3 linked regions of the Styela clava genome follow. The protein of the gene in region 2 purifies or fractionates together with the protein of the main gene of each other region. This does not show direct contact. Links are inferred from orthologs where the notes say so. Each region holds a gene or a part of one and is shown on either strand. Other genes may lie near its edges. The genes, in order: cold shock domain-containing protein E1-like, serine-threonine kinase receptor-associated protein-like and SUZ RNA-binding domain-containing-like.

The links.
Region 1: the proteins of serine-threonine kinase receptor-associated protein-like (region 2) and cold shock domain-containing protein E1-like purify together in Homo sapiens (affinity purification with mass spectrometry; 3 studies listed by BioGRID and IntAct, counting the BioPlex papers as one, with this or other methods). This does not show direct contact. The link is inferred for Styela clava from reciprocal best matches to the Homo sapiens genes STRAP and CSDE1.
Region 3: the proteins of serine-threonine kinase receptor-associated protein-like (region 2) and SUZ RNA-binding domain-containing-like purify together in Homo sapiens (co-immunoprecipitation; 3 studies listed by BioGRID and IntAct, counting the BioPlex papers as one, with this or other methods). This does not show direct contact. The link is inferred for Styela clava from reciprocal best matches to the Homo sapiens genes STRAP and SZRD1.

The regions. Positions count from the first base shown.
Region 1 is NC_135255.1:1,854,464-1,862,598, forward strand, and holds the start of cold shock domain-containing protein E1-like, read left to right. Parts: upstream 1-4,566; 5' UTR 4,567-4,820; intron 4,821-5,902; 5' UTR 5,903-6,033; intron 6,034-8,135. UniProt on the Homo sapiens protein: RNA-binding protein involved in translationally coupled mRNA turnover.
Region 2 is NC_135251.1:26,654,522-26,663,223, forward strand, and holds the start of serine-threonine kinase receptor-associated protein-like, read left to right. Parts: upstream 1-5,311; 5' UTR 5,312-5,647; coding exon 5,648-5,756; intron 5,757-5,897; coding exon 5,898-6,033; intron 6,034-6,592; coding exon 6,593-6,747; intron 6,748-7,192; coding exon 7,193-7,289; intron 7,290-7,668; coding exon 7,669-7,806; intron 7,807-8,702. UniProt on the Homo sapiens protein: The SMN complex catalyzes the assembly of small nuclear ribonucleoproteins (snRNPs), the building blocks of the spliceosome, and thereby plays an important role in the splicing of cellular pre-mRNAs.
Region 3 is NC_135264.1:10,328,865-10,336,817, reverse strand, and holds the start of SUZ RNA-binding domain-containing-like, read right to left. Parts: upstream 3,534-7,953; 5' UTR 3,382-3,533; coding exon 3,331-3,381; intron 403-3,330; coding exon 282-402; intron 1-281. Other genes in the region: putative E3 ubiquitin-protein ligase makorin-1, read right to left, coding at 5,820-6,026, 6,516-6,663, 7,098-7,208, 7,288-7,412, 7,545-7,634.

The sequences.
Region 1 (8,135 bases), on a different chromosome or scaffold from region 2:
TAAATAACACGTTTTCCTCTTTCATGCGTTTTAGATTAATCGTTTAAAACTTGTAAGAGACATTTCTTGCTATCGACTAGGTAAAAAAAAAATTGACTATGTCTTATTTTATGGGAAGGGCTTATATTAAAACCATTCATAAAATTCAGGCTAGGTCTTATTTTCTGGGTAGGTCTTATTTTTGGGAAAACACGGTAACATGGGAGTAAGGGAAGTATTTGTGTTGTTGTTGTTCAAAATATTTTTTCCCTCATTGATTTCAACTATAATTTTTTCTAAATATTCGTGGGACAAGTACCACGTGATTCGTGCTTATTATTAATATTATTTACAAAGCGTTGTATGTCAAAATCTCTACACACCCAAAATTTGGAAATATCATTCCTCCAAAAATGAAAAACTGAGGAACATATAGGCCGCGAGCCGAGGCCCTGAAAAACGCCTAGAAAGTGAGTTTCGTAGCGCACATCAGGTAACTACCTGAAAATGATTTTAAAATGTTCCTTAAAAATTTAGTAACAAATATTGCCTTGTTCCCACTTCCAAAAGTTGCACGTTTTACGGAAAAGACGCTTTTACTACAAGAAATATGTGCTACGATCTGTCCTATATTCTCTACATTTTCGGCACTGAACAATGACTTCTGCATGACGTAACAATTGAATTAAACCAGCTGTTAGCGAGCGGATGAATATTAGTTATTTCTGCTCGACCTTGCGCTGAGTTGGGCAGGCTTTCCACAGCCCTGTTTAGTTATTATTAGTTAAGTTATGCTAAGACGTTGTTGAAAAATGTATAAGTAAATTATTAAACACTTGTAGATCCTTACCACGGATATGGGCCGTGAGACGAAACCATGAAAACGCCCAGAAAATGAGTTTCGTAGCGCACATCTGGTAACTAAATAAATTCTTCAGTTTTGTGGGAAAACGAACATAATGAACGCATTACAGCTTGTTCCACAATCCTGGTGCGAAATTGAATATAAGAGGTTCCCGGAAATTCAATAACCATAAGTTTACAACGCATACATAAGAACTATACAATTCGAGAGCCCTACAGCACACTAACACAAATGTATTCCTGTAATGTTTTGCCTGACCAAAATCGGACTTCCTCAGTCAATCATAATTTATTAGGTAGATTACGAAAAATATGGCATACATGTAACCAACAACAAAAAATACTTTAATTGTGTGACAGGAGTCGGGAGTGACCTCGAAAGCAGCGACACCAACAACGCTGATTCACATTTGAGAATGAATTTTATGTAATAACCCCAAGCATTTTACAACAAGAACAGCATAAAAAGCTACATCCATTTTATAGAAGCTATCAAGTATCAAACGTATTTATTTTTAAGCAATGAAGTCACAAATTAACATCGTGAGCACGAAAACACAAATAAATCAGTTATTTCTCACTTAGAAATTTACCGCAAAAATCAAGAAAATTAAATGAATGTACAATATGTACATAACATAGTGAACAGAAATATTACAATTTACAATTAATCTTTTTTTAGTTTATGTGGTTATGTATTTGAACAAAGGCAATAATATTTCTAGAAACAGGACTACGACACTAACAAATGTCCGAAAAAAAAAACAAATGTATGATACTTATTAAATCAACTGTAATATCTAATTCACTTTCTTCTGAATTGTTTTCGAAATCCACTAGCTCAAAAATCGACTTTTCCTCTATAGGTGTACTGTGATTTCTGCAGTCAATACAAAAACAAAAATCTGTGCAATTTAAGTTGATTTTGGCACACTTTCATAAATTATTTTGACTATTTTTCTTTGCAGTTTGCCAACTCAAGAACTGATTTGAGGGCAACATGCTTCTTCAGTGAATCATTGTTGGGTGGAGAGTATAATCCTTATGTTTGACAGTGTTAAATAGACGTGCCCTGGTACCGTATCATTTACATTCTTCATATCCTCTTCAAATTCCTCAGCTTTATTTATTAATACCTCGTTAACCTCAAAAGATCTTCATAGTCGAGGGAAAAAAATGAATTGAAAATCTCAATGAAGTCTCCAACATGAATTTGATGGGCAGTTCCAATTGCAGAAAAGTGCTAAAGTATTTCAATATGAATAGCCCATCTAAGCTGTTTGCAACTATTATGATTCTCATATACCTTTAAGCTTCAAGACTTCTTGTTTAATCCATTTTATAGCACTGATAGCAGCAGGGATCAGAGCCTGCGTTAGGTCGGATTGGTGGAACATTGCCGTTTTCTTTTGTAGTACAGTATCTAAAATAAGGAAGAAAATAATATTTGGAGCAGCATGATTTTAAAAATACCCCTAAATACTAACTAATACCTTGAATACATAATGCATTTTATCTGATGTACTAAATGAGCGTATATATGCTCATTGCATGTTCTACAGTCCAGCAGTGTTTGCATACCATTACTAGACTATATCTACACTAAATTTTGATACCGGTATATCACAGTCTGAAATGTCCTATGACAGTATGAGTATGGACTATAGACTATATTTTGAAACATCAACTGTTTGTCTACAACTTCATTTCTCACCTCTCAATCATTTCCAATGCTACCTTTCTTTCCACTCCGGCATAACTTATCATTGCTTCCCAGGTTCTTGTCGACTCTATGAATTTAGATTTAGACCAACCGACATTAGTAAAATTGATTAATTTCTTCTCTTTCACACAACCGTGCATTACAGAAACAGCCATTCATTTCTATTTCCAAATATGCTGTGGCCTATATAGTAGTATAAGTCTGCTGAATAGTCAAGAAGAGTCATTAAATTAATCATAAACATTTCATGCAAGCCAGAAAATATCGTTGTTTGTGACATATTACAGTATTATTCTAGGTCTAGCCTTCCTTGGAGTTACCGCACCGTACCTATTTAACAACGTCTTATGAGCTAGTGCTCAACTAAAATTGCTATTTATGGCAAGGATATACAAGTGTTTAATATCTTACCTATACTTTTCAACACCTCCTTAGAATAACTGGACTAATATTACCGGTAACTGAAAAAAACTATGGAAAGGCTACTCAACTACTTGTGTAATAAAATGTTCCACTCAATTTTTCTATCTTATGAAGTTAATATGCTAAGTTATTAGCTCTTTTTCATCAACCTTTGACCTACCAACGATATCTCAATACTTTCCTATTGAGATCCCTGGCTAATCTATGATAAATTAATCCATTTACTACCAATTAGTGTAAAAATCTGGATAAATGGCCTTGATTTATGAATTGTTCTATTTCTATGTACAAACACTAATATTTGATGTTTATTTTTAAAGTGTTCTGAATCATTTCACATAGTGTTATGAAATATTGAATCTTATTTATTCCTACATTAAGTCAACTGTTTTGTTTTTGCATTAACTTTCTTGATATTTTAATATCGATTGTTTGTTTATACAAAGTTTACAATGTATTGCATTTTTAAAATGCATTTTTTTGTTGTTTAAACCAAATTCTAATTTGTTTTGATGACTCAACCCATGCATCTGATTACATTGCACTAGTGTGTGTAGAATAGAACTCTACCCATATTCGCTTGTTCAAAATCCCACTTGTTATGTTTAACTTAAATTCAGTCAATAAAACAAGTTACCCAAATAAGGGGTAGCTTGTCTGACCTGCTTTCCCACTTTTTTTCGTTTTGATCATTTTATATTTTGCAATATAATTTCAATTTGTGCAAAATCCTATTATTTAAAAGAATGCTTCCATAATTAAGAATAGTAAATTCATGTAAATATTGTACATAGTATAAATCGTGAGAGACATTGAAATATTGACACGAACCTGTTTTTTTTATGCTTATTTAATATAATTGGGTGGCAACTGACTCTGATGACCCCCAAAGGTCGTATCGTTGCCCCCCAGTCATATACCGAAAACTATTTTTTTTTATATTTGTTTATGTGTGCATAAATTGTTTTCTTGGTTTGACAAAATGAAATAAACTCTCTCTCTCTCAACGCAAAAGCGAGCAGTTGAGTACATCTGATATTCATCCGACCACTGGGGATCCACCTACAGCTGACTAACTTGACTGTTACGTCGTGCAGAAGTCTGCGTTCATTGGCCCATGATACCGGAAAAGCAGAGAAAATAGGACAGATGGTAACACATATTTATTGCAGTAAAAGCGTCTTTTCTGTAAAACGTGCAACTTTTGGAAGTGGGAACAAGGCAATATTTGTTACTAAATTTCTAAGGAACATTTTAAAATCATTTTCAGGTAGTTACCTGATGTGCGCTACGAAACTGAAAGATAAATGGCCTCGGCTCGCGGCCTAATACTGAAGTCGAAGAATCAACATAGATATTACCGAAAGTCTTTTTGGTTGTTTTTGTGATTCTAAGATGATTGAAAATATAGGCCGGCCTATTTGTAGTGTTTTTTTTCAGCCATTAACCTCCGTACTTTTCAACACTATTATGTAATAAAGAAAACAATAACTCATCAGTTGTGTCGTCATTAGGCGTAAAGTCAATTGTTACATCATAGGAGTAAAGTTTTGAATGACCTGATATTACCGTAGTCTAAATTTTTGGGTTGTCAATGTCGAATGCATTTTACGATTTTGTAAACAATATTTATAAGATGAAGAAATTCCTTTCAAGTTACCTCTCGCCATAAATATTGCAACGCAGAGTCGCCATCCAGCGTTGCAATCGTCCGACATTTTCTCCTTACGTTACGTACCTGCTGGGAAGAAAGAGAGATCGGCCTGGGCAGCGTCGGGATTGGCGTGGGGAAATTGGGTCTCGGGATAATTTAATTGACGTCTAAATAAAGGTGAGCACTAATTTACGTGTAGGTTTACGATATAGAAGTTTTAACGTTAGTCCACAATAGTAATGGTTTGTTAAACTTTGTCCCTCTTGTATTAAACCTGAAACAAAGTGCTGTGGTCAAGTGGGGATTACAAGATTAGGATTAACACGTGAAAAAATTGTTACCGTATGCTACGCCTACTACATGTACTAGAAGTACATCAGGTACCGTACGAAACTACATGAGACCCCTGTAGTCTGAGTGTCCATTTGCTGAGTTGTGTGTCTGACTCAACTGTATGAATTGTTAATGTTCTTGAAACATGTAAGATTCTGTAACATGGAATCTAAGTTCTGAAGGTACGGTACCGCTGTACCGGTACCGTACAGAGCTAAAATGTCAGAATGTTGGAGTTTGAAAGGGACTACAGGTTATGTCTGCATGTAGTTTCGTACCTACAGACCTAACACAGTAACATACTTCTAGTGGGCGTAGCATAACATTTTTTTCACATGTCAATCCTAACCCCCACCTTATTACGCCATCCAAAAATTACGTCACTACGACGTCACAGTGCAGCAGTGAGGTAATGGAGCCTTTCATACTATTGAACTATACCGGTACGAACTGCCATCCAAGATGCGCAGACGACCACCCGAAATCGAACTGCTGTTTCTCTCGTTTTCTCGACGCTATGATCCCAATAGGAGAGAGATCGATGAAGTTATTCAGTTCTTTATCGTCATCGCTGATGCCATTTCGGACGATCGGACGTATATTTGGCAAGTACTATGATGGGATTGTGATGTCGTAATGACATAATTTTTGGATGGCGTAGTCGAATGGGGGTTAGGATTGACATATCAAAAAATTGTTATGCTACGCCTATTAAAAGTACGTTAGGTACGAAACTACACGAGACCCATGGACCACTTCCAGACTTCACTGCCACTGCTGACCCTACCACTTGGCATAGTCTGGTATTGCTGTAGTGAGAATCATTGAAATTTTGAAATGTGGCCCATACAGGCCATAAATTGTTTGTGTTTTGTTTAAATTGAACTAGTTCAATCTTTTCACCACAATCTGACAATTCTCTGCAGATTTTTTTCAACTAATACAACATATGGAAATTTACAAGAACTAACAAGCAAGTTGCAGCAGAAGAATTTACCAGCAAACTAACATTACATTCAACATTTTTACATTTTGATTGTGTTGGCAATTTTTTAAGGTATGTCAAGTATGCTAAAAGCAGTCTATACATGTTATCCACATCCTGTGTCAATTTTTATTCATTCTACTCATAGCTTGCCCATCCTGAAAATTATCTTGCTCATTTGACTTAGATTCAATACCATGTTGAAGGATCATACACAGACAACTGCTGAAATTTTTATTATCTCAGGTGGTCTGGTTCCACTGTTGGCCTCAGCTTCTTCCTCAAATTTCTAGATATAAACCAGTGAAATTATCGAAGGATACTACAAATCATTGCTTCACTAACTTAATATTAGACATCCACTTAAATATTTTGTTGGTAAATCACAAAGTTTTGACATTCAGCAGCAATCTAGCATGGCACACCTATTTATAAAAATTGCCTATGAGCTAAAAAAGACAATATGAATAGGGTTCTGCTTGACTAACCAGAATTCCTGACCATGCAATGTTTTCTTTACAGTTTCATCCTCAATTTTGAAATCTGAGCATCTGTCTGCGAACGCTCCTATTTCTTTGTGTAGTGTCAATACATTCTGTTTTCGCTCTTGAAAAATATGTTGTGTCAGTGTTATCTTTTATTGGTGTACTGCACATAAGTGTACTAAACAATACGGATTGATTAGTAATCTAGTTTTGTTTACCATATAACATTGCCTTATACAACCCAGCATATAAAAGGCTTTGTTAGCATTACCATTATAACATACCAGTTTGTATACGCTGTCATAATGTTTCTTTCTTCAAACTCATTGGATTCACTAATGGATGAAAGATCATCTTTTGTGGTGAACTAACTGTTGGTACTTTTTGTAACGAGATATTTATAACATCCATATTATGTACCATAAGTACGTATGTGGATTAGATTGTCATGATCTAATAGCATGTATGGATGGATAGTTCTTGAAACAATGATAAAATTTTATGCGATAGGAGTTCATAGAGCCGAATATGCTATAAAATCTTTTAGTCATGTCATGTTCAAATTAGAAATATAGACATTATACAGTGATGATCTAGATTATCAATCAACTATTTAATATTTTTCAAGGGCGCAGCCAGGACCTTTCCGACGGAGGGATTATGGTGAAACTAAAACATTTCACCAAAAGTACAATTCACGACGACGTAATGCGTTTAATAAACTAAAATATATGGTCATTCACGGATCACGGCGAAATTCCACACCACAGTTACGTATAGCCCCCCTCTCTTTGCCTGGCGGTGTTTGGTGAATATTTTGCAGTCCTGTTTCAAACATTGGCCATTAATCCGTAGTCAGTGGGTACCCACATTTAGAAATAAAACATTTGAAATTGCGAAAATTAATTTTAGAGAGAGCTATAACTTGCAGATGTCAGTAGTATCATAATGGTTTATATGTACAAAAAAACTCTCGTATGTAGCGCTGATCAAATGCACGAAATGTGAAACTGTTACATGGAATTTATAGTTACCGGTAATTGAGTTGATTTTCTGTTGCCATTCAATGATTATTTAATTGCGCCGTGATTAGTGGCGGGTGATCTTATTTTTTGAATTGAGTTATTCGATTGTTTTTAACGAACATCGAATAATGAGTATTGTCATTTTGAACAACATTAAATGAAATGTCGGCCGCCGAAACGATCGTCGTGAAAATAAATATATTGTTTTTTTTGGGATTTTACCAGAAGACTGAAAACTCCGTGACAATGAGGCATGTTTATCTCATAATTTTGTCATAATCGTCGGCAAAATTAGTTTCATGTCTGTTTCATGGAGCGAAAGGAAAATACGCCTTCCGGAATTGCAATCAACAATTACAAATTCTTCTTTATCATTATCAGCGCCGAATAAAAAGATAACTTATCGTGAAGACAAAAAAAGTACGGCGGTGTTAATTGCGTTACAGTGATAACGCACAGAATAGTATTGTCTTGACCGCGAAACCCTGATGCAGGATCGTAAAGCGACGCTTTTGTTTTTTTGTAGATGAAATTTCATATCAAAAATTTTTCTCAAACGGGGGGTTACGACTCATCTGAACCCATGTTGTGTTTAAATATAAATACATAGAATAGAATGATGTCTATATGTTGAAATATAGTCTTTAAGATATCTATAAATGAG
Region 2 (8,702 bases):
TTACCTATCCTACTTTTGACACACTGGCGGGCATCCACCCATGGCCATTGACAAGTATTATAAAATGGCGGCTTTTCATTGCATGTCTTATAGATTATACCCTGGCAATTATGTTTTAGATAAAAAAAAAAAACTGCATTTCCTATTCCCTATCACCCAACCAGAAATTTTCTATTTTCACCGTCTGAAGCAATTAAGGTCGAAATATGCACTAGCAATTATCCATTACCTTGGTAATTGCCTTACTTAAAAAGGTATAAAATATTTCATAAAAATTAAACAACAAAACACAATGTCAAACTGTCATAGCGTTGTGTTGATACTTCAAAGCATTGATTTTTAGAGTCGCAATCCAAACAGAAATTTCCGAGTCTGAATAAATTAAATCAACGCTTCTTCGACATGAGCCACGCCCTATTTTTGAATCGCATGTTTGGATATTCAGCAAACATCGTTCTTTTGTGCATTTGCATTTTATGTGAGGGCACACTGTTCTTGGAATTTTCGCTTGCGTATAATCGTACTTCTCAAAAACTGTATTGTTCGTATTATTTGTTTCATTTTCAAAGATAAATAGAATTAAAATCTAGGCCTATTCAATAGTGCCATAGCTAAATTCCAAGAATATTACCAACGTATAAAGATCATCGAATGGTTGCGATCATTCTTCTATAGGTTTTCGATTTCGAATTAAAACCATAACCATAACCATAAACTACAAATATTAACATTAATGGTTCGGATCTATGGAAAGCTTTTCGTTGTAATAGTTGGTTCCATTACATTTGCACCCACGTACATTTGCACCCGTATTTTGAACCCACGACAGTTGCACCTGCATACTATTGCACCTATGGACATTTATTTTACGGATATTTGAACCCATAATAACCCTAACCCATGGATGTTAGCACACGCATATAGATTGAACCCGCAGATATACCGATGCAAATGTATGGGTTCAAATGAACGTGGGTGCAAATGGACGGTCATCTAATAGTAGTATGTCACATTGCTAGTGTTAATGGAATATGTTTTTTTGGATGATAGTTGAATCAGTCCAATCTACGTCAGTCTAATCTCAGTCTGCGTTTCTTTCCTTCGAAGAACATTTCATACCTATTTCAATGTCTTCAAATATGTTGCTTTCCTGAACGATCATCAAATTGTAAAACTAGCGAATAGTCGCGAATAATTTTAATAGCGAGGATTACTGCATTACTAAATATGAGTTTCTTTTGAGTGCTGTTAACGAAATGACAACAATTTCACAACAATATAATGGAAGAATGAGAAAAACAACAGACTTAATAAATACATTACCTTTGTTAAAGTTTAAAAATTGTGGCTTGGTACCCCTGGTAGTTGTAAACAACTTCATCGCGTGTGTTGCGGACACACTGTCGGAGTAAATGTTGCCATACAGATGGAAGGGAGACTATCATACTAAGTTGTAATCTTACCCCGAATGAACAACAGGCGCCAGCACTGAATGGTATTTGAGAATGTTCTGTCATATTGCTGGTTGAGAGTATGGCGATTTCGCCCACGCGGAATTCCAACAATGTAAGATTAATGTATTTATAACAACGTTGGAAAGTACCTCAACAAGTAAAAAATAAAAAACAGGTAAAGATAATATAGCTCAAGTGAAGCAGAAACGAAATTACAATGCACCAAATTCGCGTGAGATATTAGTTTTGTGCTTTTTTAAATTAAAAAAAAAAAAAAAAATTGTTTTTAAACATGGGGGTATGATATAAAATTTAAACATCTAAAAACTGCATGATGTTAAGTTTTAGTGGAGTAGATATTTGCTATCAATTAGGTTAGAACAAGAGAAACGTTTATAATTCTGGCGCGCGTTGCCATAATTTGTCGTAATGTACTAATTCATCCAATACAATGAAACGTGTATTCAAATTAAAACTAGTTATAATATTATCAATTAGTTTTGCGGAAATTATTCATACCGTTCAAAATGTATTATTTATAAATTACCATATGTAACTACATGGGTATAGATACAAAATATGGGGTTCGGCTTTGTCGAGATATTGGAGGTTTGTGAGTTGAAACATTGATAATATTCATGTCATGATACAGAACTTCTGTTGTTTAGTGAAAATTTACACATAAGTTTTTGGATATAATAAATTTTATCGGAAAAAACCTACCCGCCTAATTAGACCACATTATACAACTGTACCATAGCGAGGCTAATTATATCATTCTGATCAAATTATTAAAAATTATCTGAATATGAATAAATTACCACGCTCTCCCGAAGAATTGCCCGTTCCTTGGTATTCCTTAAGATACTATACCATATTGATAAAGAAATTCAGGTCTAATAGTATAACAGTAAATTTATTAAATATTTTTATAGGCTAAACGCAAATTCTGTTCATTCTTTATATATATGATCTTATTGATTTTTTTGCCATTCTACGGAAAACTGAATCAAACACTTAGACTGCAAGACGACTTCTCAAATTATTTTTGTAAACTATAATTGAAGCTAGAATGATATGAAATTTGATGGCTGATGCTATACCTGAATGTGGATATTGCTCAGGTCATAAATATGATTTTTATATTTATAAATCGCAAATCCTCTATATGAAACAAAATAATATACGTGATAAATCATGAGAAACATATATCATTTTTGGGTGATGTGGTTATTTCACGCGGATGCTTAACAGACGAATATCCGTACCAGTTAATATAATTTTCTGATAGTAGATAATATTGGACCATTAATCGACCTAACTACCTTAACGATGAAAATTTTCTATGCATTTGATCTTTATTTTACTTCCCAGCTCAAGATCGACATTTTCTCTCGAACTCTTGAAAGTTAATGAGTCAGAATCCACATACTATGACTACAACATTTTCGCCCAAATTGTTCAAGTTCAAAACATTTTTGCAGCCGGAATTTATAAATATATCCTACAACACTAATGGAATATACAAATTTGGTTGTCGGTAAAGGATTTTCTGGATTCCGTTTGGGTATTATCTTTAGGGTTTTGCTCAATTTACTTCAATAGATAAAACCCATATTTTTGAATGAGCTAACCAGTTTCATCAACAAAATTTATAGATGCTTATATATATATAAGTTCAAAAACGTTGAAGAAATTTCAGACAGAGCCAAGTTAAAAGTAACCTGAAACAACGCATATTGAATTATCGTAGAACCATAGGTCTTTGTAAAGTTCCTAAATATATTGGGAGTTGAAACATTTTGCAACGCACCATTATAATTAGTATATATATATAATTTAATTATAAAATAGATGATAGAGTTGATTTTTGAGAAGTTTCAAATTTTGGTTTTCAGCCTCTCAGTACTAACATTCAATACTGAAATATACTAATACTAAACTTAATCAGCGTTTCCATAAAACGTGTCACTCCATACTCCTGAATATCATCTCTCACGTTTTTTTATATTCAGAAAACATCTTACTTTTGTACATTTGTAAAAAATTCTTCTTTGGGAATTTTCCCTAGCATAAAGATAATCGTATTTTTTGAGAACTGAATTGTTTGCAGTATTTGATTTATTTTCAAAAAAAAAAAATCGAATTAAAAACTATTGGAGTAACTTGATTTTCAATACGCAACAATATCATCTTGACTGAGTGCAAATAAATTAATGTGGTTGCGATTGTTTACCTTTTCGTTTTCAATCCCAAATTGAACTTGAGACATCTTGTAGTTTCCCACTGTATCAGTACTATATTGAATTGATAATTCAAATTTTTTCCTGAATGAGATTAGAATCATCGAATCTAAGAACATTCCATGGCAATTTCGTGAATTTACATAATAAAATATGTAGCATACTAAAATATGTGTTTTTTCTTGAACAATGGGACAACTGCAATGTAAGAATCGCGGCTGATCGAGAATATTTGCAAATGATTTCTAAATGGGGACGGTGAGGTTTATTACAAAAATTACTAAACAAAGATTTTATTTTGAACTTAATATGAGTTTTTTCTGTTTTCTGTTAAAAAAATCACATTCGATTATCACTTAGTGTAACTGACAAATAACAAAGCGCCCGTAAAAATTATATTGGTATCGCTAAGCTTAAAAGTCAAAGACAATTTGGTCGATATTTGTTGAATAAGTTTATAAATTGCCGGAGTCAATGTCACCACACATATAGATAGAAGAATATCATACCTACTAAGTTTTAATTGATAATTTAAAAATAGGATCTTACTTCAAAAAATTGGCATTGGTACTGCATAGTATTTGAGAATATTCCGCCATATTGTTGTAGGCTATCTAGGTATGACGATTCCGCCCACGCGGAATGTAGGATCAATGTAGGCTATTGATAAAAAAAAAACATTGGAAAGTACCTAGAAAACAAGTAAAAAACGTAGAATGCGACAAGAAAAGCGAAAACTAAATAACCTGATATATCTTGAACAGTTACGGAAGGTGGATCAGTATTGGGTTTTATGCTTTTTTAACTTCAAAAACAGCTAGTTTTTTGGGGTATTACTGAAATTATTTGATACTTGAAATAATCAGGTTAAAACAAGGGAAAAGGCCAATCGACTACTTCACATATTAGTTTCGCAAATCATAATTGAACATTATGAAACTTGGTATCTGAATGTCTTAAAACACCTGAATGTCTTAAAACGCAAAAATTGAGTTTTATCATTTATAAATACACATCCTTTATGTAATATAAATTTTGTAGCGAAGATTTATATTTTCTATTTTCTGGTGTTGTTGATTTGTCTTGTTGGTTATTTTCCGAACAGTTTATATTCAACCCAGTTATCTATGTGGTCTTACTAGTGAACTTACTACTGAATTATATTAACACCATTGGCCAACCTGTCAAGCGTTGGGAATAAGCTTGTCACCGCAGCTCTGATCGCTCTGCATGGGTTCGCAGGTTCGAATCCCGTAGGGGTTGATTATGTGAGAGGAGATTGCTGGACTACTCGCTGACGTATTGTGGTTCACGTGATGGCTGGTCGGTTCAGCTTCCTTCACCATCAAGTCCATGCATCTGGAACAAATAACTGGCTAACAAACTAATCTCATACCCGACATGGACTGGTAACCAGATAGAAGGCCGTGATTTGCTCTATGATTAAACTGTCTTATCGGCTTTCTACTCCACCGAGATAAATATGTAACTAAATCCTAACGATATGATATTAACTCGATGATTCGATCGCCGGATTTGTTGCTGCAGACTCGGTACCACTCAACGTGCTGTTTTTCGATTCTTCCATAGTTTACTGAGATTCTTGACTGTGTCCTTATTGCTGTATTGTGAGTCGACGCAGCTCTCGTCTTCTTCTTCCCACCAGCGTTCAGTACAGTGTGAGTGGTGCAGTGTTTGCAACGTGCCGTACCGTATCCTTCGACATTATTCAGTCAGTCTGTGCTGCGCACCAAACCGTGTGGTCGCTGATCGGGCGTAAAAGGTGGACCTGTAGGCCGTAGGGTAGGCTACGTTGTCGCTTTTATTGCTCACTGGCTGACTGGTGTTGTTGACACTGATATAGCCTAATTTGAATTAGTTGTGCACAGTAAATTAAACTGTACTGGTACCAAGATATTCTAACTGTTCCACCGTTCAGCGATAAAAAGGATGACAAAGCAGACACCTCTAACATGCAGTGGCCATACTCGCCCTGTCGTGGACTTGGCTTTCAGCGATATAACTGAAGATGGCTATTTCTTGATCAGCGCATGCAAGGGTGGGTTCATATTAGTTAATAAGCAGTTGGGTTAATTTGCAATGCTTAAAGCACTAACTGAGCAAGGGTTGAATAAAATGAAAAATTTATCTTTTATTCTATATTCTGGTAAGATTGTAATATTGTTACTGTATTATCCAGATGGAAAGCCGATGTTGCGACAAGGACATACAGGAGATTGGGTTGGTACATTCCAGGGACATCATGGTGCAATATGGGCTGCTACTTTGAATAAAGATGCAACAAAAGCAGCAACTGGAGCAGCTGATTTCACTGCGTATGATGCTAACGGATTATATTTTTTTATATATTTGAAATCTTTGACAAGAACATACTCCCATATAAAAATACAGAAGCATGTATTCCATATAGACTTATTTTTAAAAGGTGTTAAATATAGTCTTATAAAACGATGTAGATGAAAAAGATCATCATATGAATTCAGATATGTATGTGATATTTTAGAACACTTAAGCATCCACCACCAAAGTTTGTTCAAAGCACAATCTTGCAGTTTTATTCTAAGATGAGGCAAATGCAGCAATGCAGAGTTAAATTAGGTCTAGTTGACTTAAGTAGAACTTAAGCTAAACATAACTCAATAATCAATTTTGTGTAGGAACATCTGCAATGATACTTTTTACAACAAGATCACATTATACTGATGGGTCATAACTCAATGATTCTAATCCGTAGCGAACTAAATTCGGGCAATTGATGATCTATCAGAAATGATTCAAATTTAAATTTTGAATTCATTGACTGGCTGTTTGTTTCTGATTAATTAGACAAACATTGTTTTCTATTATCTGTTAATCATTTGTTTTTTTATACAGTAAACTCTGGAATGCTGTCACTGGTGATGTTGACGCATCATTTCCACATAAACATATTGTCAAAGCTGTATCATTTTCTCCAGATGGATCAAGGTTATTAACAGGAGGTCAAGAAAAAACACTTCGTTGCTTCAATATTGAGAAAACAGATGCAGGTTGTAAATATTGGTTGAATACCTTCATTTAAAATATCTAGTAATTCATTTAAAATAAATAGTGATATGCCCTCACGAAAGCATGACAGTTTTCAACAGTATGTCAGATGAAATTACTTACGTTCGAAAGTAAAATAATACTCAAAACCTCTAGAAATTAATATAAATTAGTAGTTTCTATATTTGTTATTCAGTGAATTTAAAACAGGTATGTGGTAGCCTACTATTTTGTTGTAGAAATACTAGTTTATATGATTTCTTAAATATTATTAATCAAGAAAAAGAATTGTACTTTCAGGTCCTTATAGGGATGAAAAATATCTGAGGAATATTTCATGTAGATTGATAGCATATTTTAATTTTTAAGTCTTATTTAATCCAAACTTTAAAAGTGAAAAAAAAACTACCCATTCAACATTTGAAAATGCTTGTTTTAAATTGTTAGATCCAGAGGAAATAGGGAAACATGAGGGAAGTATAAAGAAAACGTTATGGATTGATGAAAAGATTGTTTTAAGTGCGTCAGAGGATAAAACAATAAGGTTTGTTGTATTTTAGCACCATTAAATGGGTTATTTGATGCAATATAGGTAGAATTTAGTTTCTGTTGAGGGGGTCATTTTTTTGTATTTTACTTTTGAGCTATTGGAGTATCATCCAATGTAGGGGTGTGCAATATTTTTGTCGATGGGCCATATAACCAACTTCACACATCTAGATGGGCCTCACGAAAAAAAGAATTCATGCATGCAACGAAATAAAAAATTCTTCTAATGCAAATTTTTTTTTCAACATTTTAGTGGGGCACTTGAAATATGTTTGTGAACATCAGCTTTACTTTGGATTTGTTTATGTAAATTTTTATTTTACTTTGGGCATTCTCATAACTGCAACAAAGTAAAAAAAACTAATATTTTGCAGGAAGTGGGATACATCAACCAATAGTGAAGTTCAACAAGTTAAACTAGATTCAACAGTAACAGATATTGAACTGTCGCAAGATAAAACAACACTTCTTGTCACCAATAATAAAACCATATCTATATTCGATGTCGAAAGGTTTGTTTCCTTCTATACTCTTGTTATCTTTTGTTATATACTATTTTTATATATATGTTTTGGCCAAATTGGTGGCATCAATATTGTGTGGACGATTTCAGTACCAGATATAACCAATTTTAAAACGTTATAATGGGAATTTAATAAAGTTCTGTACAACAAAACTTGTCATTAAAGCTTGTCATGTTTGAATTAATCATTAGTTAATTAATATTGCAATATTTCTCTTATTTTTTTGTATTGAATCGAGTATTATTACATCCTTATTTGATTGTTAACATGTCTTGTTTTGTTTGTTGTATTGTCCTGTTGTTATTATTAAGATCACAGTTCAGTTGGTTGACTTCATAATATCATTAATAGTTTCAAAAGTTTCTTTCCCAGGCGCTATTCAATTAATGGTACTCCTGAAGTATGCGCACCAAGATGTCGCACAACCTGAACCCTAACCTGATACACAACCTGAGTTCAAGTTGTGCGCCATCTTGGTGCGAATACTTCAGGAGGTCCCAAATAATAGTGGTAAATTTAGTCCATATATTGCTGGGTCAAGTTTGACTCAGTATTATGAATATTTTTTATCCTACACCGAATTTTTGCCATGATTTCGATAATGTGATTGTTTCAACACATTTTACTTTTTCACCAATTTTATTCCAAAAAGTTGTTGAACATTAGTAATGATAGCACATAGCAGTTTAGGCCCTTTCAACAATTATGTAATCATCATAATCATTATAATGTACCATCTGGACAAGCAATTACTCACCTAACTAATTTACTATAATTCATCATATTCCATATGGATACATGATTTCCTGAAATTCATAGGTAAAATATTTAATTCAGTATTAATTATGGGGGGAACCTCATTGTTGGCAACGTTGAGTGCGTTT
Region 3 (7,953 bases), on a different chromosome or scaffold from region 2:
CATGCACATAGTAAGTAAAAAAGGGGATTAGAGGGTGATTTGCTATACCTCTTATGAAAAGCACCCGACATCAACAAAACAACAAACCCACCCAGGGTAGTCAGAGGTGCGATGGCAAGCGTGTTCCTAACAATGTGACGCCTAACACTATGCGTTAGCCATACAGCCATATGCAGCGAAAGTTTGTTCTATTTAAAGGTGGGGGAAAGTGCTATAGGCTAGTATTATAATTTATATGTAGATTTTAAGTGACTTTTAAACCTACAGAGATATTAATTTACCAGTACAAATAAAATCATCGCTAAAGTCTTGGTCATCGTCAGAAAATTTGCTTCCATTTTCTTCTTTGTGAGAATTTCCATTCGTAAGTTGCAAATGTTGATCAACATGCTTGTCTAGATCCTGGAAAAAACAGTTACAAATGCTGAACTGGATGAATAAAATCTAAGTTTAGGGCTTCTTTCAGACTAACTTAATTAAAAATCCACAACAGGATATATCAGATAAAATTGCAAAAGACGAAATTCTGGATATTTCATAGCTTTGGTCTGCCATTGGATAGGATAGGATTCACATATTTATCCTGGGGGAAATGAAAGCCGATAAGACGGCTTATCCATATGGCGAACCACGGCCTCTCGTCCGGTTACCATTCCAAGTCGGGTATGTGATTAGTTATATTGTTTGTTTTCGGAAGCATGGACTTGGCGGTGGAGGAAGCCGTAACCGACCAGCGGTTACGTGAACCACCCAACGACAGCGAGGAGTCCAGCAATCCTCTCGCACATAACCATCCCTGCATGGGATTCGAACCTGCGAACCCACGCAGAGTAATTAGAGGTGCGGTGGCGAGCGTATTCCTAACGCTTAGCCCGTTGAGCCACACCGCCGCGCCAATGAAATAGAAAACCTCAGAAACTTAGGTATGTCTATATATTGAAAAACTAGTGACAGAGTGAGGTACCGTACCAGTATCATTTGACACAGAAATTTATATGAATTGAAATATTACATTGAATAAAAAAAGGTTTCAATCGTCTTTTTTTGTTTTGTTCGAAATACCAACCCTCCTTGCACAACTGCCTGTATAAAGGACCATATTGTACATATTTGATTTACCCTATTATAATTTATATACCTATATCAAAAGGGGTGTATGCCGCACATCTGTGTTTTAGGCCAATATGGTCTTGTGCAGAGGCGTAGCTTAGGGGGGGCAGTGGGGTACATATGCCCCCGGGCGCCAAGGTACAGGGGCGCCAAAATGGGGCTGGCAAAAATTTCACAACAAAGGTAAAAAACGGTCACAAGCAAGATCGCACCGGCGGCAGACATCTAATCTTAGTACATGGCAAACTGCACACTTGGTCAGACCACTTACGACTGCCGACGTCATCACGCACATAGCACGGTCAGATTTCCATCGTAATTACATGGCCCAAAAAAATTTGGCCGGAAAACAAAGCAAAATTTGATTTGGTAACGTTAGGTATTAAAATGCACCGGGTTAATTACGTGGTTCTGTATCGTTAAGTTCTTGCCTGCGCACTCGGATGTAAGTTGATATTAGTTCTGTGCTGGAGACAAATGGAAACGGAATTTGGTTGAATGATGTTAATACATGTTTTGAGTAATACGTGGATTGTATTTTGTTGTCAAAGTACCGTACTTTGCGGCAGAGTTACATAAAATATATTATACTGTGCTAAAAGACCTCAATGCCGTTTTCGACAATTCGTCGAGATTGCACAGATTTTGCAAATCTCTACCCCACGGACATCAATGGCCACGAACTTTTCACCGAAATTGGAGATTGCAGAATGCTGCTCAGTAACAGAACTGTAGATCAACCAGAAATTCCTTTGGCTCTTCTTGGTTTTATTGTGTCTTTTGGAGACGACGTTTCATTCAATCTGCGAATTTCTCTACACAAATTTTGTTAACAATATCAGTTTCAATTGCAAGCTGTGAACGGTCTTTCAGCAGATTGAAACTTATTTTGTCGTATTCACGTGCATCAACGGGACAGGATCGTGTCCGTGATCTTGCACTTCTAAGTGTTGAAAGAGAAACATTGGAAAAAAACAGATTTTGATGACGTGTTAACCAGTTTACGACAGTGAAATTGAAAAAATGAATTTATTTTAGTCTATGTAGATCATCTTTGACAGTAACTGAGTGGGACATATGCTCTATTTTGTATAGCTTTGCTTCTTCTTTGAATAAAATGTTTCATGAAAATTTGAATTTACATATACATATATTTTTGAATAAATAATAAAATATATAAATACATATAAATTTAAATTCACATATCGTCACGCTAATAACCGAATTGCGTAAGTCATTTTGGGCGGTTTTGAATTTTTCATAAAATAAGTATTTATGTAATGCTGCGCACCTGTCTGTTAACTCAGATTTTATTTTAAGAATTCCGAAACCCATAAAAATAGAAATTTTGTATGATATGCAAATTTGTTCAATTGTTCCGTCATAATGAATTATCATTGTTAACGCAGTTTTTGCATCTCAGATTCTAGCTTAGCGCTGATAATTTTCAATTTATACTACTGTATAGGAAGGCGTGCACTTGTGATATTTACTGTCTGAGTCCAATTCACCTTGGTTGACTTTTATATAAGAGTACATTACTGTTTTATTCTTTATATTTAACTTTAGTCTTATTTCGGTGATGTGCAGAGCGTGTTATATTGATGAAATATATATTTTTAAACATAAAAAATAATGTAATTGAAACAGATTAGCTATTTTGGGGATTTTGGATTGTTTGGTTTTCAGGACTGGTACATATAGACAAGTTGCAAAATTGCGTATGTCCTCTAGCCATAGACACATTTTTGCCTAAATCACAGTGTGCCATTATGGCGTCACATGACTGCGTCATACAAATTAACTTAAATCCGGCTACGATCAAAAAGTTGAACTATGGCAAATTAAAGACTCTCAATGGCATAGCAATATCATTAGGAAGTTTTTTTACGTTTTTCTCAAAACAGCTAAAAATGACTTACGCAATTCGGTTATTAGCGTGACGAAATATAATTTTTTTTACATATACAATTAAATCCAATAGAAAACATGATTAAACGTGGGGGCCGGGGCGCCAATGTTATATTTTGCCCCGGGCGCAAAATATGCTGGCTACGCCTCTGGTCTTGTACATACATCCCGTCTTCAGTATTTATAATTACTTACTCTTTTATATTGCTTTTACGAGACGAATAAACATACATACATACAAGCATACAGGTTACAATGTTACGGGTACAATAAACCGTTGAAAACAATTTAATTGGTGAATTTACTCACATTACTATCCGCAAAATCTTCCCAGCTATCCCATATGTCTTCTTCTGCCATAATAAAGAGAATAATACAACGAAACGTCGCGTCAAACAGTCAAAAGATGTAACGAATCACACAAAGCTCGGTATCAAATGAGAATGTTTTCCACAAAGCAAATCTCCCCACAAGCCATAGAGACTAAACTGCAGAACTGAAGTACGACCGAAAAATAGTCAGGTTATGAAGAGAAAGTGAGAGATTGTTTCTTTTGCAAAACATCATATGAAAGTGTGGTGAAGCTAATGTATTTTTTATAGAAAAGCAGATCCTCATATCATATCCTGAATCTCATAGAAATGGATAGCGGAAGAAATACTAATCAACGGTTGTTTTAGTCATCATGGGATAAGAATATTGTATTTGCAGTTGTCTTGGCAGAGGAACTACGGATTCTCACCCGTTCCCCAGTCAATCAATCAATCAATCATCATTTATTCGTCAACACAATCAATATAAATATATCACGGAAATATGGCAAGATATATAATAAGTAAAAAAAAGAACTTCATATGTGTGACAGGAGTCGCGAGGGACCACGAAAGGTCTTCGAGCAGCGACACCTACGATTACGTTTATTTGACTCAAAATTTACCAAGACTGTATATGCTTATCTGGCTTATTTTTTATTTTGTTGTGGTATAAAATGCTACGTCCCAATCGTTACATTAAGTCAAACACGCATTTAAGTAACTCCTTATTAATAAAACTTCATTCTTATTTGCATTGCTTGTTCATTATGCTTCCAATTTTTTTTTTATGTATTCATGTTTTTGTATTCTGTGTTTGTATATTTGTCCTGATCTCAGTTGTTTTTCGACCACGAGTAGGATTAACCGATACATTGAATATTTTTACCTCTATGGCACTTTTAAACCAATAATTGCTCATTGATTCTTCATGCAAGGGTGTATTAAGTACAAAGCATTTCGAACGAATTGGTCATCGAGATAGCCGAATCCGGTGCATTTTTCATTTCGAAAAAACTTTTTTTTCCTGCTCGCCCATCCTTATTCTCATTCCAAAAAAGTATCAAATATATATGCTTCAGTTCACTTTTCAAATCAATATGGCGATGTTTAAACAATGTACACTTTTTGCCAAATATTGAGCTTGTTGTTGTAACTATTTATTCATGTATTTTGTATTGGGTGGTAGCGGACTGATGACCTTTTGTTTTGAACCCCTGTTTTGTTCACATGTTTGTCCTTGTTTTTTGGTTTGACAAAAGCAATAAATTATCTCAATAAATACCGGTAGTCGTGCAAGATGTAACGTACCCTTGCTAAACGTAACAGTAGTCGATGACTGCTACGTTACAATGGTAATTTTCTCACGTCACATTTAAATGCAGGAAGCAATGCGATGAAAATATGCGTAAAATACACTCTACATCTTCAGCCTACGGGGAACGACTCGGAATTCCTAACAGCCAAATATGCTACGGTACCGGTACCCCATCCAAACTACTGTATTTATTTTTTTTATTTAGCGTTCGCTGTGCAAGGACGAATATCACGTAAATGTGACAACTTTTGTACGAAGGTTCCTAACTTCTTCACCAGTCTTGTTGCACACCATGTCGGCCGCTATAGCGCTTTGTTGGATAGTTCTTGAGAAAAAAACTGCTTCCTAATACTGTATCAACAGTGTAGGATACTGTTAACTGTATCTTTGTGCCTAAAACCTTGAATATATTATTCATCTAGATTGCACAGCCTACAGCAGTGAACTAAATTTAAAATCACCAGCGTTTATTTAATATTTTCAAGGCGATAAAATGGAAAGGCGACATTGAAAAGAAAAGTACACATGAATTAAGCCTATAAATGGCGGCGTTCTCGGGAAAATATAAGTAGTCAATGAACAGAGATTGATAAACAAGAGCTGATTGGTGCAATTTCCTAATAAGAAACAAACAGTGCAGTGCCAGTTGAAAATTGAAGATGCAGGATTCTTACTGAGTCATTGATAAAGTAAAGTCGTTGGCAAGGCAAAAAAGTTGTTGATACAAATAAGTGGGGCCACAAACTTTAAAATTCTATAAAGCAAGTTATCACCAGGCAAAAACAAATAATATCATAAGTGTAGTCAAACAAAGCAAACACATAAAAGTGAGATTACAATTATCTTAAATGGATCCGCCAAGTTATAAATAAAAACACACACACACACACACACACGATTCCACATCAAAATTAATGAGATGTCAATTAAAAAATAAGAAACAATTTAGAAATGCCTAGAATTTTAAAGTTTGGAGCCCTAGTTTGATTAAATGTTGTCATAATTTTAATACCAGTATACACATATGGGAATACACAAGCGAAATGGTTACACTTGCATGTGAATCATATAGTAAAATTTGGTCATTGTATTCAAGCGTGAATTACGAGAGGCCATACTTCCAATGTATATTCTATACATAGCTCAAGCTTGAATGATGTGATCAAGAATTAGTAAAAGTCGCTATCTTCATCACTATCACCAATTCCCAAAAACCAGTCCCAGTGATCATACGAGTCTGAATCATCGCCTAAGCTCGTATTTGCACCGAGAAGGTACACCAGGTCAAATAACTCCATACTATCATCTTCAAGATCAAAGAATGGATGATCGTGCCGCTCTTCAATGAATTCCCATATTGTTGATGAATCGAAGGTCTATAAAAACAGTTCATTCGTCAAAGTACTCTAATATTTCAATTCATTAATTATATTTTCAACAATTATTCGATATTATTTTTTTTATACAAGTATACTCAAAGCAAATAAAAAGAAAAAAGGATTAATAGCCAAATAACAACCAGCAACCATAATCTAACTTTGTGACAGAAATGATAGCAAATACAGGTTGACCTAAAAATTCAAGCTAACACTGACGAGAAACGACAAATCAATTTGCAGGTATTTACCAAAATGAATACATTATTCAAGTAATAAATATAAATTTGCGTTATCAGCATGTATGACTAAACTGCAGATTAAATTATCTGGTAAGTAACTAGAGAATAAAAACACTATAGGCCCAAGAATTGAACCTTGTATAAATCTTCTATAAAAAGGTTTGGCCATCAAAAAATGGATTCAATGATTGAATAGCTTAACCGGGACATAGTATGAGATGCAAAACTATGGAAATAATTGTTAAACCTGCAATCTTCCTTCTGCATTTCTAGCTCTCTTTGGAATTTTTGATCGATCTTGTTTTGTACCATCTGGATACGCATGGAGGTAGAAGCAATTAGCTCCGAACGGACATTTTCCTCGGCCTTGATCGAAATGTTTGCATGACTTCTTTCTGTAATTTTAAGTTTGTGGTGAAAATTTTACCATAACAGAGTTAATGGTTTCGAATATTAATTACTTTACCTATCGGTCTATAATGTCTTAATTCCAATTGATATAAAAAGGCACAAAAGTCTTTAAATTTTTTAATGATGCGCTCATACACTTGCTCCAATTAAAGTTCAATAAGCAGCCACTAAGATGCTACTGTTCTGGTTTTGGATATTCTAGCAGCGAACCAGATCTTAGAACAAAGATTTTTTGCTACAATACTAATGCAATAGCTGTTACACAAAGAGCCCACCAAAAGTTGGAACAAAGCATAATTAATATCTCCTTCTACAAAAACACACATCTGAGCAATGGGCACATTCCAGATAGTTTACCAGAAATTACCTTGACAGACAATGATTTAACAGTGATGGGAATCTACTGAAAATAACTTACGATAAGTGATCTTTATACCCTTCGATTAATTTCTTTTTCTCTTCTTTATCCGAGACCCAGTCATCACTTGGCGTTACGAAAGATGAAGATACTCGACACTCTGGACAAGCTCTGAAAAACGAACAAAATATAAGGTTTGAATTTTCAAATATAATTAAGGACATGAGTGAGATAGTAGTGAATTCCTTACTTGACAACTGTATTATTAAATGACTTAGCGCTTCTCCATTTTCTGATACAATCAAGACAGAATGCATGAGAACAATTTTCTAAAATTCCAAACTTCCTTTCCCTTTTTTCTTTCTTTTCCCAAACCTGAAAACGAAAAGATGAAAAAAATATTGATGAAATCAGGAAAGTGAAATTTTTCATAAATATATTTTATGCCAGATTTATGGATGATGTAAAGAAAAAAATTGGAAGATCAGTGGAGTAAACCATACGCACCACTTCCATACAGATGCCACAAGTCACTTCACAACTCTGTGCAACTTTAAATGATTCTTTCATATCTTCTTCATGACTTGCCAAGCACTCCTAAAAATAATCGTTCATATTTTATCTAATTATCACTGAATATTTCATAAAATTTAAATTTTAGCAATAAAAAAATTGTGCGAATTTTATGTCAATTTATCTTAATAAAACTTGCTTCTGGATCTGGTAATCAGTTCATTTGGATATAAAATTAGTTGCACGAGTTGGACATTTTAGTTACACAGATGAAGATTGGAGTAACATAACAGATTGGTAATTTTTTGAATAATCACTGTAAAAAATGTATACAAGATTAGAACTTATGGAAGACGCAATGGAAGTCGCAACAATTAACTCATAAAAGAAAGTACATGGAATA